Linked DNA regions of Kluyveromyces lactis. The protein of the gene in region 2 interacts with the protein of the main gene of each other region in a pairwise test. Links are inferred from orthologs where the notes say so. Each region holds a gene or a part of one and is shown on either strand. Other genes may lie near its edges.

Evidence for each region.
Region 1: the proteins of KAR9 (region 2) and KLLA0_D15565g interact in a two-hybrid assay, tested with the Saccharomyces cerevisiae proteins (2 studies listed by BioGRID). The link is inferred for Kluyveromyces lactis from reciprocal best matches to the Saccharomyces cerevisiae genes KAR9 and CLB5.
Region 3: the proteins of KAR9 (region 2) and STU2 interact in a two-hybrid assay, tested with the Saccharomyces cerevisiae proteins (2 studies listed by BioGRID). The link is inferred for Kluyveromyces lactis from reciprocal best matches to the Saccharomyces cerevisiae genes KAR9 and STU2.

Annotation. Positions count from the first base shown.
Region 1 is NC_006040.1:1,315,520-1,318,553, forward strand, and holds KLLA0_D15565g (uncharacterized protein), read right to left. Parts: upstream 1,833-3,034; coding exon 606-1,832; downstream 1-605. Other genes in the region: KLLA0_D15576g (uncharacterized protein), read left to right, coding at 2,868-3,034. UniProt on the Saccharomyces cerevisiae protein: Required for efficient progression through S phase and possibly for the normal progression through meiosis. Interacts with CDC28.
Region 2 is NC_006040.1:67,220-70,842, forward strand, and holds KAR9 (Kar9p), read right to left. Parts: upstream 2,232-3,623; coding exon 525-2,231; downstream 1-524. Other genes in the region: KLLA0_D00704g (uncharacterized protein), read left to right, coding at 1-335; ATP-binding cassette permease MDL2, read right to left, coding at 2,620-3,623. UniProt on the Saccharomyces cerevisiae protein: Involved in karyogamy. Component of a cortical adaptor complex that orients cytoplasmic microtubules. It may be involved in anchoring cytoplasmic microtubules to the cell cortex.
Region 3 is NC_006041.1:1,460,454-1,464,643, forward strand, and holds STU2 (Stu2p), read right to left. Parts: upstream 2,895-4,190; coding exon 396-2,894; downstream 1-395. Other genes in the region: thioredoxin TRX2, read left to right, coding at 3,464-3,778; SER2 (phosphoserine phosphatase), read right to left, coding at 3,846-4,190.

The DNA.
Region 1 (3,034 bases), about 1.2 Mb from region 2:
ATATGGAATCAATCTGATCCAATACTCAATTAGTTTCTGGGAAGTGGAATAGTACATGTTGCGCGTTAAAGGGAGGCATTCTAAAAGCATACTAAACCCAAAAAAAAAAAAAAACGATAACTATACTAATACTAATCATAATAGAAAACAAACATTGTAATAATTAATCTAGCCAACCCACATGTGTCAATGTGTTTTCCATTCAACAGATAAAATGAGGATTTAGACCTTAGTGAACCCTTTACTTCAATTCACTTTTAATATTTCACCTGCTCAAAAACTCAGAAAGAGTTCTCTCAGGATCATCAGTATCAGCATTATGTTGCAATCATAGGTATACCCACCCCTTACCCTTTAAAGTATAACCACTTCAAATAATTTACTTCTTATGTACACTTAGCATGTTTCTGAACTAATTTCAATTAATGAATAAGTCATTTTTTAACTATTATTATTAGTTGATTACTCGATTAATTATTTATAAAATGCAATGGATATGATTATGAAGTAAGAACATCTTGAAATGATGGGAATGCGAGACCGCAAAAGTAGCTCGGGGATGTGAATGAGCTTAAGATCCAAAAGAACTCGGAAGTGAAAAATTATCATAGTGAAGTGGAAGATGCAGGTGATGATGAAGCGTAGTCGCTAGGGTTCAGCTCTTCATAAGTACAGTGCTTCAAACACCAATCATGGATTTTGTTCCATGTGCCAATTTTTTTGTATTTGTGAATTAATGCATTAAGTTGTGTTGTTGGCTTAGCAATATCGTTTATCAGAATTTGTGATAACTCTTTTAACTCTATCTCATTATCTTTGAATGAAAAGCATGAATAATAATCCCATAATTCGTCCCATTGGAAGTCTTCATGCACGATTCTTTGTGCAGTGAACATTGCCACGGACGCAATCTTAGAAGGCACTACGTCGATGAAGTGTGGGCACGAAATCATATATCCAATTAAACACTTGCCCAAAGTTCTAGTGATTGAATCGTACTCATCACATCTGGATATTCTTCGTAGAAAATTTAATGGGTTAGGCCATCCGATGTTGTATTCCAGTTTATTCAGAATGACAAACTCGGCCTGTTTGATTTCATCGTTGCTGTAAGCATTATCTGTGATATATGAGTAATTTGATAGCTTAGGAAGATTCACCTCCTCAAACTTGGCGGCAATCAATAAAGACGTGATTGCAATTAATTGTAACTTTGGTAATGTAACTTTGTTAAAAGAAAGATATCTATCCATGAGGTTTATCGAAAGGTACAACGTTTCCGGTAACAGTTGAAACTTACAATGAACCTCTATAATCCAATCAACGAGGATCGATCTCATCGTCGGTCTCAAGTAAAATTCGTAATTTTTATCCTTCAAATAATTGATCTTTGGCGTAGTTTCAAACTGTCTCGTGTAAAGATGGTCAAAAATATCATCCGAATAATCATAACACATCGTTACATCTTCTTTATCCTGGGAGTCCAATTCTTCTCTACGTCTTTCTAAGCTCTCGCATTTCAGTCTCTTATGACTTTTCCTGGGCTCTAGAATATCATCATCTGAACGCACATCTGATTTTTGTTCCTCATCATCATCATCACGGTATATCTGTCTTTTCAACGACACTGAACTCGTTGTCTGTGAAGAGTTCCCATATATCTTATTTTTACCTTCATCGACTTGTGAATTCCTCAATGACCCGACTGAAGATTTCAGTTTATTATCGTGGAGTGGCTGCTCCGATAGCGCGACACGTTTCCTTTGGTGTGAAGACTTCTCCATTGCTTCTGCGTCACTAACACTCCAGCTGCTCCTGGTTCTCGGTCTCATCTTAAAATCTATACTCTATCGTTCTGTCTCCTAGTATGTGGTAAACATATATGCTGTATATATATATATGAAAACAGTTTCAACAGGATAGAGAAGAACTTAACCTGTTAGCGGTAACCCAGCCAGCCAATGTCACCAAAATCTTGGACCTGACAGACAACACACAAATCGCGTCTCTTTCTCTTATTGTTCTTTCTTGGCCCTAAAACAACGAGAAAGATACAATATACAGAAAAACACCGAGTAATCGACCGTGCATATCCAGTGGAAACAAACAAAATCTGTTATACACGCTTTCATAGACTAACAGCAGGTCATAAAATTCGTGAAGTTCCTTTGGAAGCTCTAACAGGCCTGTCTTGGTTCAAGGACTTTCCAATTTCGCTTTGTAGATTCGCATCTTCGCAAAGTGCTGACGCGTCAGCACGCCAAAAACGAAATTTGAAAAAAAATTGTTTCGCGTCTTCGCGTTGTCCGGATCTCAATCACGTGACCAAAGTATTCCGGACAAAATGGAAACTGTCAATTTATTTTCACGTGATTTAGACGGGAAAAAAGTCCCGTTTTCTATTTCTGATGAGAGAGAGAGAGAGACTCATTAGTATGCGACATACAGCGATTATCGCTGACTCCTCTTCCTTCGAGCGATTTGCCTGGCATATATCGTACCGGCTTACAAAGTCAGCCCAGTACAGCCAAGGAAAAAAGGCAGACGTTCGCCGAGTTCTATCAGTCTTTCGCTACTATTCCTCTATCTTATCGGTCGGTCTTTCTTAGAACGAACAGATAATGAAAATCTGATATCGCCATACGGCTCCATTGAGATTTATCAGATTAAAGGGCTCGAAGAGACAAAAGGTACACCGTTCCATAGTTAGATTATATAGTACGAGAAACCTACCGTAGGTATATAAGTAAGGTTACAACCGATTTTTGGGGGGTTTTGTCCAAGATATAACATCATTTTCTTTTGTATTCATCTGATTATTAGGAAGAACACTATCTATTAACTAGATAAAAAGCAGCGCAAGGAATATGGAAGGGTTCAAGTCTAAGTGGGAAAAATTTAAGAGATACGTTTCTGGGAGTCCAGTTGAAGGTGAGAAATACGATGAGGCTCCTAAGGTCGAGGATTTGCCTCATATGGTCGATGCAGACGGTGCTCTTGTTGCAGTTTCTTCCGGGAAACACGATTTGTCCCC
Region 2 (3,623 bases):
CTAATAATGGTGTTGTGGCTGCTGTTTGCCATGGTCCGGCAATCTTTGATGGTTTGACTGATAAAGATACTGGTAAACCGTTGATTCAAGGTAAAGTTATTACTGGTTTTACCGATATTGGTGAAGAAATCCTAGGTGTTGCCGATATACTAAAACAAAAGAAGTTAGATACTGTGGAAGATATCGCTAAGAAGTATCATGCAAAGTACATGGCCCCAATTGGTCCATGGGATGATTTTTCGATTGCTGATGGTAGGTTAGTTACGGGTGTCAATCCAGCATCGGCTAGTTCAACCGCAAAGAGAACTGTTCAAGTATTGAATAGCCTTAACTGAATTCCCTTTAGTATTTTTAATGGAGTGAAATAATTCCTGTTAATTACGTCAGGCATTTTGTCAGTAGCTACTTTTGTATGGTTTATTATGTAAGCTAGATAATTACCTATTAACAAAGTTAGTTTATCCTGATTATTGTATTTATAGTGTTACAATGGAATGGACTATCTGGAGCTAGTCCGGAAGGCACTAAGATACATAGGATACGGGAAATTTCAGTTGGTGATTATCCTTTTTTACCCAGTTGGCATCGAAATTGAATAAAATAGTACGATGTGGAATGATTTTCTGTCTCTGGAAAGGAAGTCTGGGGATGCGTGTCGGGAGTTTACCGTACTGTTTCAATCTGTTAATATCATATGCTCGGGATTCAAGTGTTCCCAAAATGGACAGTTGTTGTTCAAAAGAAAGAGCAGGTACTTTGTTAAAGTTAAGTACCTTTTTTGGACTTAATTTAGTAGCTTGGCAAGGATCAAAAAATGGATTGGAATATCTGTGGCGGTCACATTTCACATTATCGCTGTTTGAATCATTTTCATCTCCTTCTCTTACCAAGACAGGTTTGATATTCATTTTCTTAAATAATATCGCCCCAATACTAGACCTGTTTGAACCTGGCTTCTCAGATGGTGCATCGTTGAGCCGAAGCTCGGAGATGTCATTGGAAAGCTGTGTGATAGTTTTATTTGGATCATTTTCATTTTGGTGTTCCGGCAGTAAGTGTTCAAATTTTGTATTTAATTGTAGCCACTTTTCCGCATGTTCGTTGGTAACGGTTGCAATTGATTCATTCAATATCGAGCTTTCAAGAGCATTGTATATTATACCGAAGGTCTTATCAATAGTGTACGATTTGCTTCTCAATTGATCATGCAGTTTTGTTTTCAGCTGCTCCGAAAGATCAGGGTTGCCTACCTTCAGCAGCAGTTTCTCCACATCTTTCAGCATAATCCGTAGCTCGTCATTCAAAGTTGTAAATATGAGAACCCATTTCTCATCAACAATTGCTTGCTTTAGGTCTCTGAGTTCAACTTGTAGTAGTTCATACTTATCCAATATATATTGGTATTTCTTTCGCAGCAATCGCATGAGATATTCCAAATTGACAACATCACGGGTCTCGAAGTTATCTAATCTTTCTGAAAGGACATGTTTTAGTGACAAATCTATAGGTGCCGAAGAATCTTCCAACTGTGTAAGCTTTTCATGAATCTTTTGCTCTGAAGGAGAAAAGGCAGGGATCTGAAGTCCTTTGGTAGGAGAATTTGTTGAAGACAAAGTTTTAATCAATTGATCCAAAGTGAAAGTAGGTTTATTATGTCTTACAGGAGATTCAAAGTTTTGCTCTTGAAGTTCAATGCATTTAGACAAATTGTTTTCTATCTCTTCATCTAGACTGTTCATATGATCTTTGAATATTTCGTTGAACTCTATGGCGGTGTCGAACAGGTTTTTTAATGATGAGATGATTGGTTTTATGGACACTAATGTATCTGATATCTCCTCTAATAAATCAAAAAGTGCAGTCAACTCCTTCTGGAATAGTTCATCTTCATTACACCCAAATTCCTCTTCGATGATTTCCATCAGATGCAGCAACACCTTTTCGATGGTCTTTATCCCGTTGAAGAGCTGATAAAATTCAGATCTTCCCTCTTGAATCCAATCAAAATACGGTAAGAGTTGAGAAACGCTCACATCATCAGAAAACAGCTCTGCCAACAGTGTATGAGACTTTAACAGTAATTCTGCCAGACTACACAAGTGCTGGTTGGTGCTATCCAAATCAAACTGATAATCATCAAAAAACAAAAGAATATCTTGATATTGCTGTGAATTACTCCTCAATGAGATAGATAGTCTCTCATGAGGAAATCCTTTCAGCTCCTCTGCCATAGTATAGAAGCTTGCTGAAGCACACCTAGTGTGGACAATGGATCTCTGCTTCTCTATCGCCTACTGTTTTTCCGTTTCGTAACCCCATGCCTTTGTTTACATTTTAACTAATCTTAATTATTGATGATTTCATTTGAAGTAACGGGAAAAGTTGCTTGGTAGATAAGGCACGTAGAGGTCAGGAAGCTTGCAACATCAAAAGATTAATGCTTAGATGACTTCCATGGAGAGCTGAAATTATATGAATATTAATATATTTGTTTGATTGGTACCTTGTATGTTGTTTATGTGTATATTTATATGTTAATAATACATAGTACCAACTCTGGTGCACTTGTAAGATACCTATGCAGTGTAAGAAAGGAAGGTGGGAAATTTCTTCAATTACTCATGGCCTGAGCGTTGAAGTTTTTTGATCGTGACTGATATCTTCTAAAACTTGATGTATAACTTCTTCTTGCAGTCTCTTCTCGTTCTGATCTTGTGAGTTTTCTTCGTGGTCAGAATTTTGATCTTCACCAGAATCATCTTTGCCATTTTCTTCTGTTTGTGGCTCAGATTCTTGAGTTATGGCAGGTGGAGCGTATTGTTGGTGCTGGGAATGCTGCTGTTCTGAAGGTTCTGTCAATAATTTGTGTAAAGCACTATCATGGTTGGCGTAAAGATCTTTGAACTTACCCATTTCCACAACTGAACCATCGATGCCAAGTACAATAACATTCTCGGATCTTCTGATTGTGCTCAATCTATGAGCAATGCTGATAATAGTTAATTCTTTGCTCTTCATTAACCTCCCCAAAGTGTAGTTGATAGCGCCCTCACTTTCAACGTCTAGGGCAGATGTAGCTTCGTCGAGAATCAAAATTTTAGGTTTATTTAATAACGCTCTAGCGATAGCAATACGTTGTTTCTGTCCTCCACTGAGCAAAGCACCACGAGGCCCAATGATAGTTTCGTAACCATTAGGGAATTTAGATATGAAAGCATGACAGAAGCACTTTTTTGCTACAGATCTGATTTCTTCCATTGAAGGTTGCCTAGAGACACCATATGTAATATTCTCTCTTATAGTACCAGACATTAATATTGGCTCTTGTTGTACCACACCAAGTTGTCTTCTAAGGGATTTCGAACTTAATTTTGTAATATCTTGGCCATCAACCAAGATTTTACCGGATGTTGGATTGTAGTACCTCAACAATAACGAGGCAATTGTAGATTTCCCTCTTCCTGATGGACCTACAATACATACATTAGAACCTGGCTCTATTGTAAAGTTGAGATCCTTAAAGATTTGATTTGTTTTTCTTGTTGGGTAACTGAAAGAAACATGCTGAAACTCAACTTTACCATTTAACGGTTTAAACGCCTTCCCGGTAGTTGATTTAATAG
Region 3 (4,190 bases), on a different chromosome or scaffold from region 2:
AGGATGTCTGCTTTGGCTGTTGTTAAAAATCGCATCAACTGATCCGAGGAATCATCAGTGGGAACGACGTGCATGGAAAAGAAACGTGCTGAGAGTGATGGGCTTAGTTGCCGTTATTTGCATTTTGAAATGCATATAACGGTGTATCTTCCCTCTAGTTGCATATCTGGAATATCTGACGATTTTCGGAGAATTTTGGAGAAAAAGAAACTTTTCGGAAAAACTAGGAGGCTGCACCAGAGATAAGCAGAGAGAAGACGTTGCTATATATTACCCGGGACAATATATGCATTCTAGGTCATGTGACTGGAAGCTTCCCTCTCTGGTTGTCATGTCGGAGTTTGCGCTCAATTCGTCGTTTATACAGGAATCTATTTTGTACATAGTGGATTCTCTTAATCTACGCCGAGATTGTTGAAACCGGACCTGGATTTGGCCCTCATTCTTTCTATACGTGCCTTTAATTGGTTCGTAACTTCTGCAGCTCGTTTCCACGATTCCTCTTGCAACATATGGTTGTTCAAGTTTAGGGAATTGACACGTCTAGGTAGATCGTCGCTACTTTCACTAGGCGATCTGACCCTTTGAGGAGTCGTAGCATTTTTAGTAGATCTCAGAGGTGATAAGGTAGTTGCTGTTAATCTTCCTCTGCTAATGGACGAGGATATGGGTGAATCTGTTGACATGGTATCGGAAGTACCGCCCGTCAGTTTACTCTCTAACTCCTTGATCTTTAAATTCTTAGCGTTCAATTGATCCTTCGAATCCTGCAATTGCCTTTGTAAATTGGAAACGTATGTCTCAGACTCGTTCAAGAGTTTATTTACTTTGGAAAGTTGTAAATTGGATTGATTTAAGTTGGATAAGAGATCGTTGCGCTCCCTTAGCCATTCTTGTCTCTCTTGTCTTAATTTGTTCACTTCATCGTTTAAATGTGACATTCTGTTGGATATGTTTGTCTGTGGTGTGAAATTGCCAGAGAGGCTTGTGTTGGAACTGGTATTAGATTTGGGTTGTGTTGAGGAAGGCAGATCCGTATGGTTCATCATTTGATGAGTAGTTAGAGACCTTGAAGTCAACCTGGACGACTTCGTGTTGCCATTCAAGGCAGAGTTACGTGCCGGTTTCAATGGAGAAGTGGCCAGTCGTTTTGAAGGGATCGTTGAAGACAAGGGTTGGGATCGTACTACTGGTGCCGCTGATCTTAATTGGGTTTGCGGTTGGGTTTGGTGTGGAGGTGGAACCGTTGCCGCCTTGATCTCCACTTTATCAACAAGTTCAAGGATCTTCTTCCTTTTCAAGTTATCGAGCTTGTCCAAATATGTTGATAGTTCTCTTTCATCGAATATCTTAATTAAGATAGCAATACACTTGAAACCCTCATTTCTTGTTGCCTGTTGATTGTCGTTTACAATGGGCTGCAAAGAATTGAGTATCGCTGGCAAATTGGAGAATACCGACGTTCTATGAAGAGTTTCAGTCGGTGTCCAATTGGATAGCAACTCGAAAAGAAATTTCGAGCATACAATTTTTACCTGTGGTACTTTGTTCTTCATGTGTTGTAACACAGACTCGAGACATAGCTCTAATTTATAGTACTTTGAAAGGTTCAGGAGAGCATTGAAAATAGAATCTGCGACGTTTGGTTTTTTCTCCTTTGATCTAGTTAGGAGAGCGTTTAAAGTTTCCAATGCGAATGGGTTATATTCTGATCTTAATGCGGATATTAGTATATCTAAACTGCTGGTAGATATTTGTACTGCTTGTAGGTTTGCATCGGAAGTGATAGTCGAGCAAAATTTGTGAATGATTTCAGAATGATCTTCATTTGATGCTGACAATTTTTTAACCTTGGTTAAAGTCTGATCGTGGAACTCTTCTAAAGCTTCCACTCTATCCTTCCATTTGCTAGACGCCAAACTCTGATAGAAATTATTCGGTAGCTTATCTAATATAGTTTGTACGGGGAACATATCATATGGATCGATTGATTGGTTATCCAGAGCAGCGGCAGACTGGCCGTTATTACCTGCCATTGCTAGATCTCCGTCATGATCCAAGGGTAAATCAGTTGAATTGTTATCACTCTGAGCCGGGACTGCCCATATAAACTGAGACGGTGTTGAAGAAGGCGGTATAGTGCCCTGGTACGATTCAAACAGTTTATCCAGGTCCTTCTGTTGTATGGGCTTCAACTTCCCCAATAGAAGCTCTTGAAGTACAGGTTTATTAAACCATGTATATAGTTGTAAAATCAACTGCATTGACTCATTCCTCACAGATTTATCCGCATGTGAGCAAAGTTTAGGTAAAACTTCCACTAGACCCTGTAACGATTGCATCTTCTCCTGTTGAGAAACGTTCACGAACCCAAACTGCTCTATCAACTTTACATGAACCATTAACGCTGCAGTCAACAGCTTCGGTAATTTTTTGGTCCAAATCGGCGTCAGACAATTGATTGCATTTACGATATTATCATCCAATGACACGACAAGCGAAACGCAGGCCAATGAAGCCTCTTTCGTCGCTGATTTCGAGGAAGTCATACCTTTCTCCACCAGAGCTGGAACCCAGCCCTGAACCAATTGACCCGGCTGACACAAATCTCTGATCTGGGGTACGTCGATCATAAATTTCAACAAACTGTACAAGGCCTTAACGGCAGATTCTTGTGCAACAACATTGGAATCCAATACGTACCCCGTGAAAATCTCAGGTTTCTTCCAATACTTATTAACGCCACTCTCTGCAACTCTAGCAACGGACAGTTTATTGAATGTGCTTTCTAGCTCATTATATCCATGCTGTCTTGCCTTCCAAAGCTTATGAACAAGTCTCTCATCTAGTGACAGAGTCTGAAAAGACGCCGAATCATCCGTAGCGTTATCCATGGGAGATATACACACGCGATACAGCTGGCAGCACCCTGTGTTGACTCACTGACCGTCTATTTTATTCATGTTGTCTCGTCTGTTTGTTTGTTTACTGGTTGATTTTGATTGTTTTTGTTTACAGAAACGATTGATTTCAAGTCATGTGATATATCACGTGACTTTGTTGATATGCTTTGGATCGGGTTTGCAGAAACCTGAATAATGGGAGGGTAGGATCTATTATACACGTACACGCCCCTCCAATCACTCAATCGGCGCTGATGCGTGTTGGTTGAACATTATACAGTCAATTCAAGCCATTCAAAACACCGTTACACGAGTGTTGGCGCTTCCACCTGCTTACAAATGGACGGGTTCTAGCTGATTCCAGCTCTCGATTCCTGATTAGCAAGCAAAAATTTGTCAAAAACTCGATATTTAACCAACATTATTATATAAAGGAAGTAAGATACATTTAAAGGTTATTTAGTTGTCTCTTCGATTGATTATCGGATAATCTGATAACTTTCTATCCTCATCAAATAAGGTACAATTTATCTTTACTATCCCCTCCAATTTCATATATAATGGTCGCTCAACTTACTTCCGCATCCGAATTCGAAAAGGCTTTGACTGACGACAAGTTGGTCGTCGTCGACTTCTTTGCCACCTGGTGTGGTCCATGCAAGATGATTGCCCCAATGTTGGAAAAGTTCGCTAAGGAATACGAGGGTAAAGCTACCTTCTTGAAGGTTGACGTTGATGAGTTGCCAGATGTTGCAAAGAACAACGATGTCAGTGCTATGCCAACCCTAGTTTTCTTCAAGTCCGGTAAGGAAATTTCTAGAGTCCTAGGTGCTAACTTGGCTGCTATCAAGCAAACCATTGCTGCTAACGTGTAAAATTTTTTGTACACTGCTTATAATATACATTTTACTATATATATATCAGAATAAATTCTTTACATTTCTATTCTTTGATCATGGTTTCTATCTCCTTCTCAGTGTGCCCCAGGATGTATAGGACGTCTATCATTGTATCACTGTTTAACTTACATGGGGCTTGTTCTTGGACCTTTGGCTTGGCGTTCCATGCGATTCCGAACCCAGCTGCGGCCATTGCGTTCAAATCATTACCACCATCTCCGACCATGACGGTGGATTCGATCGGAGAATTGTACTGTTCTGCAAGAGCCACCAACGTCTTGGCCTTGCGCACTCCGTCAACTATATCGCCGAGTGCTTCACCGTTCAATTGTTCAGTACCGTCATCCGACACTTCCACACCCAGAGTATTAGCCAATGCAAAATCGAA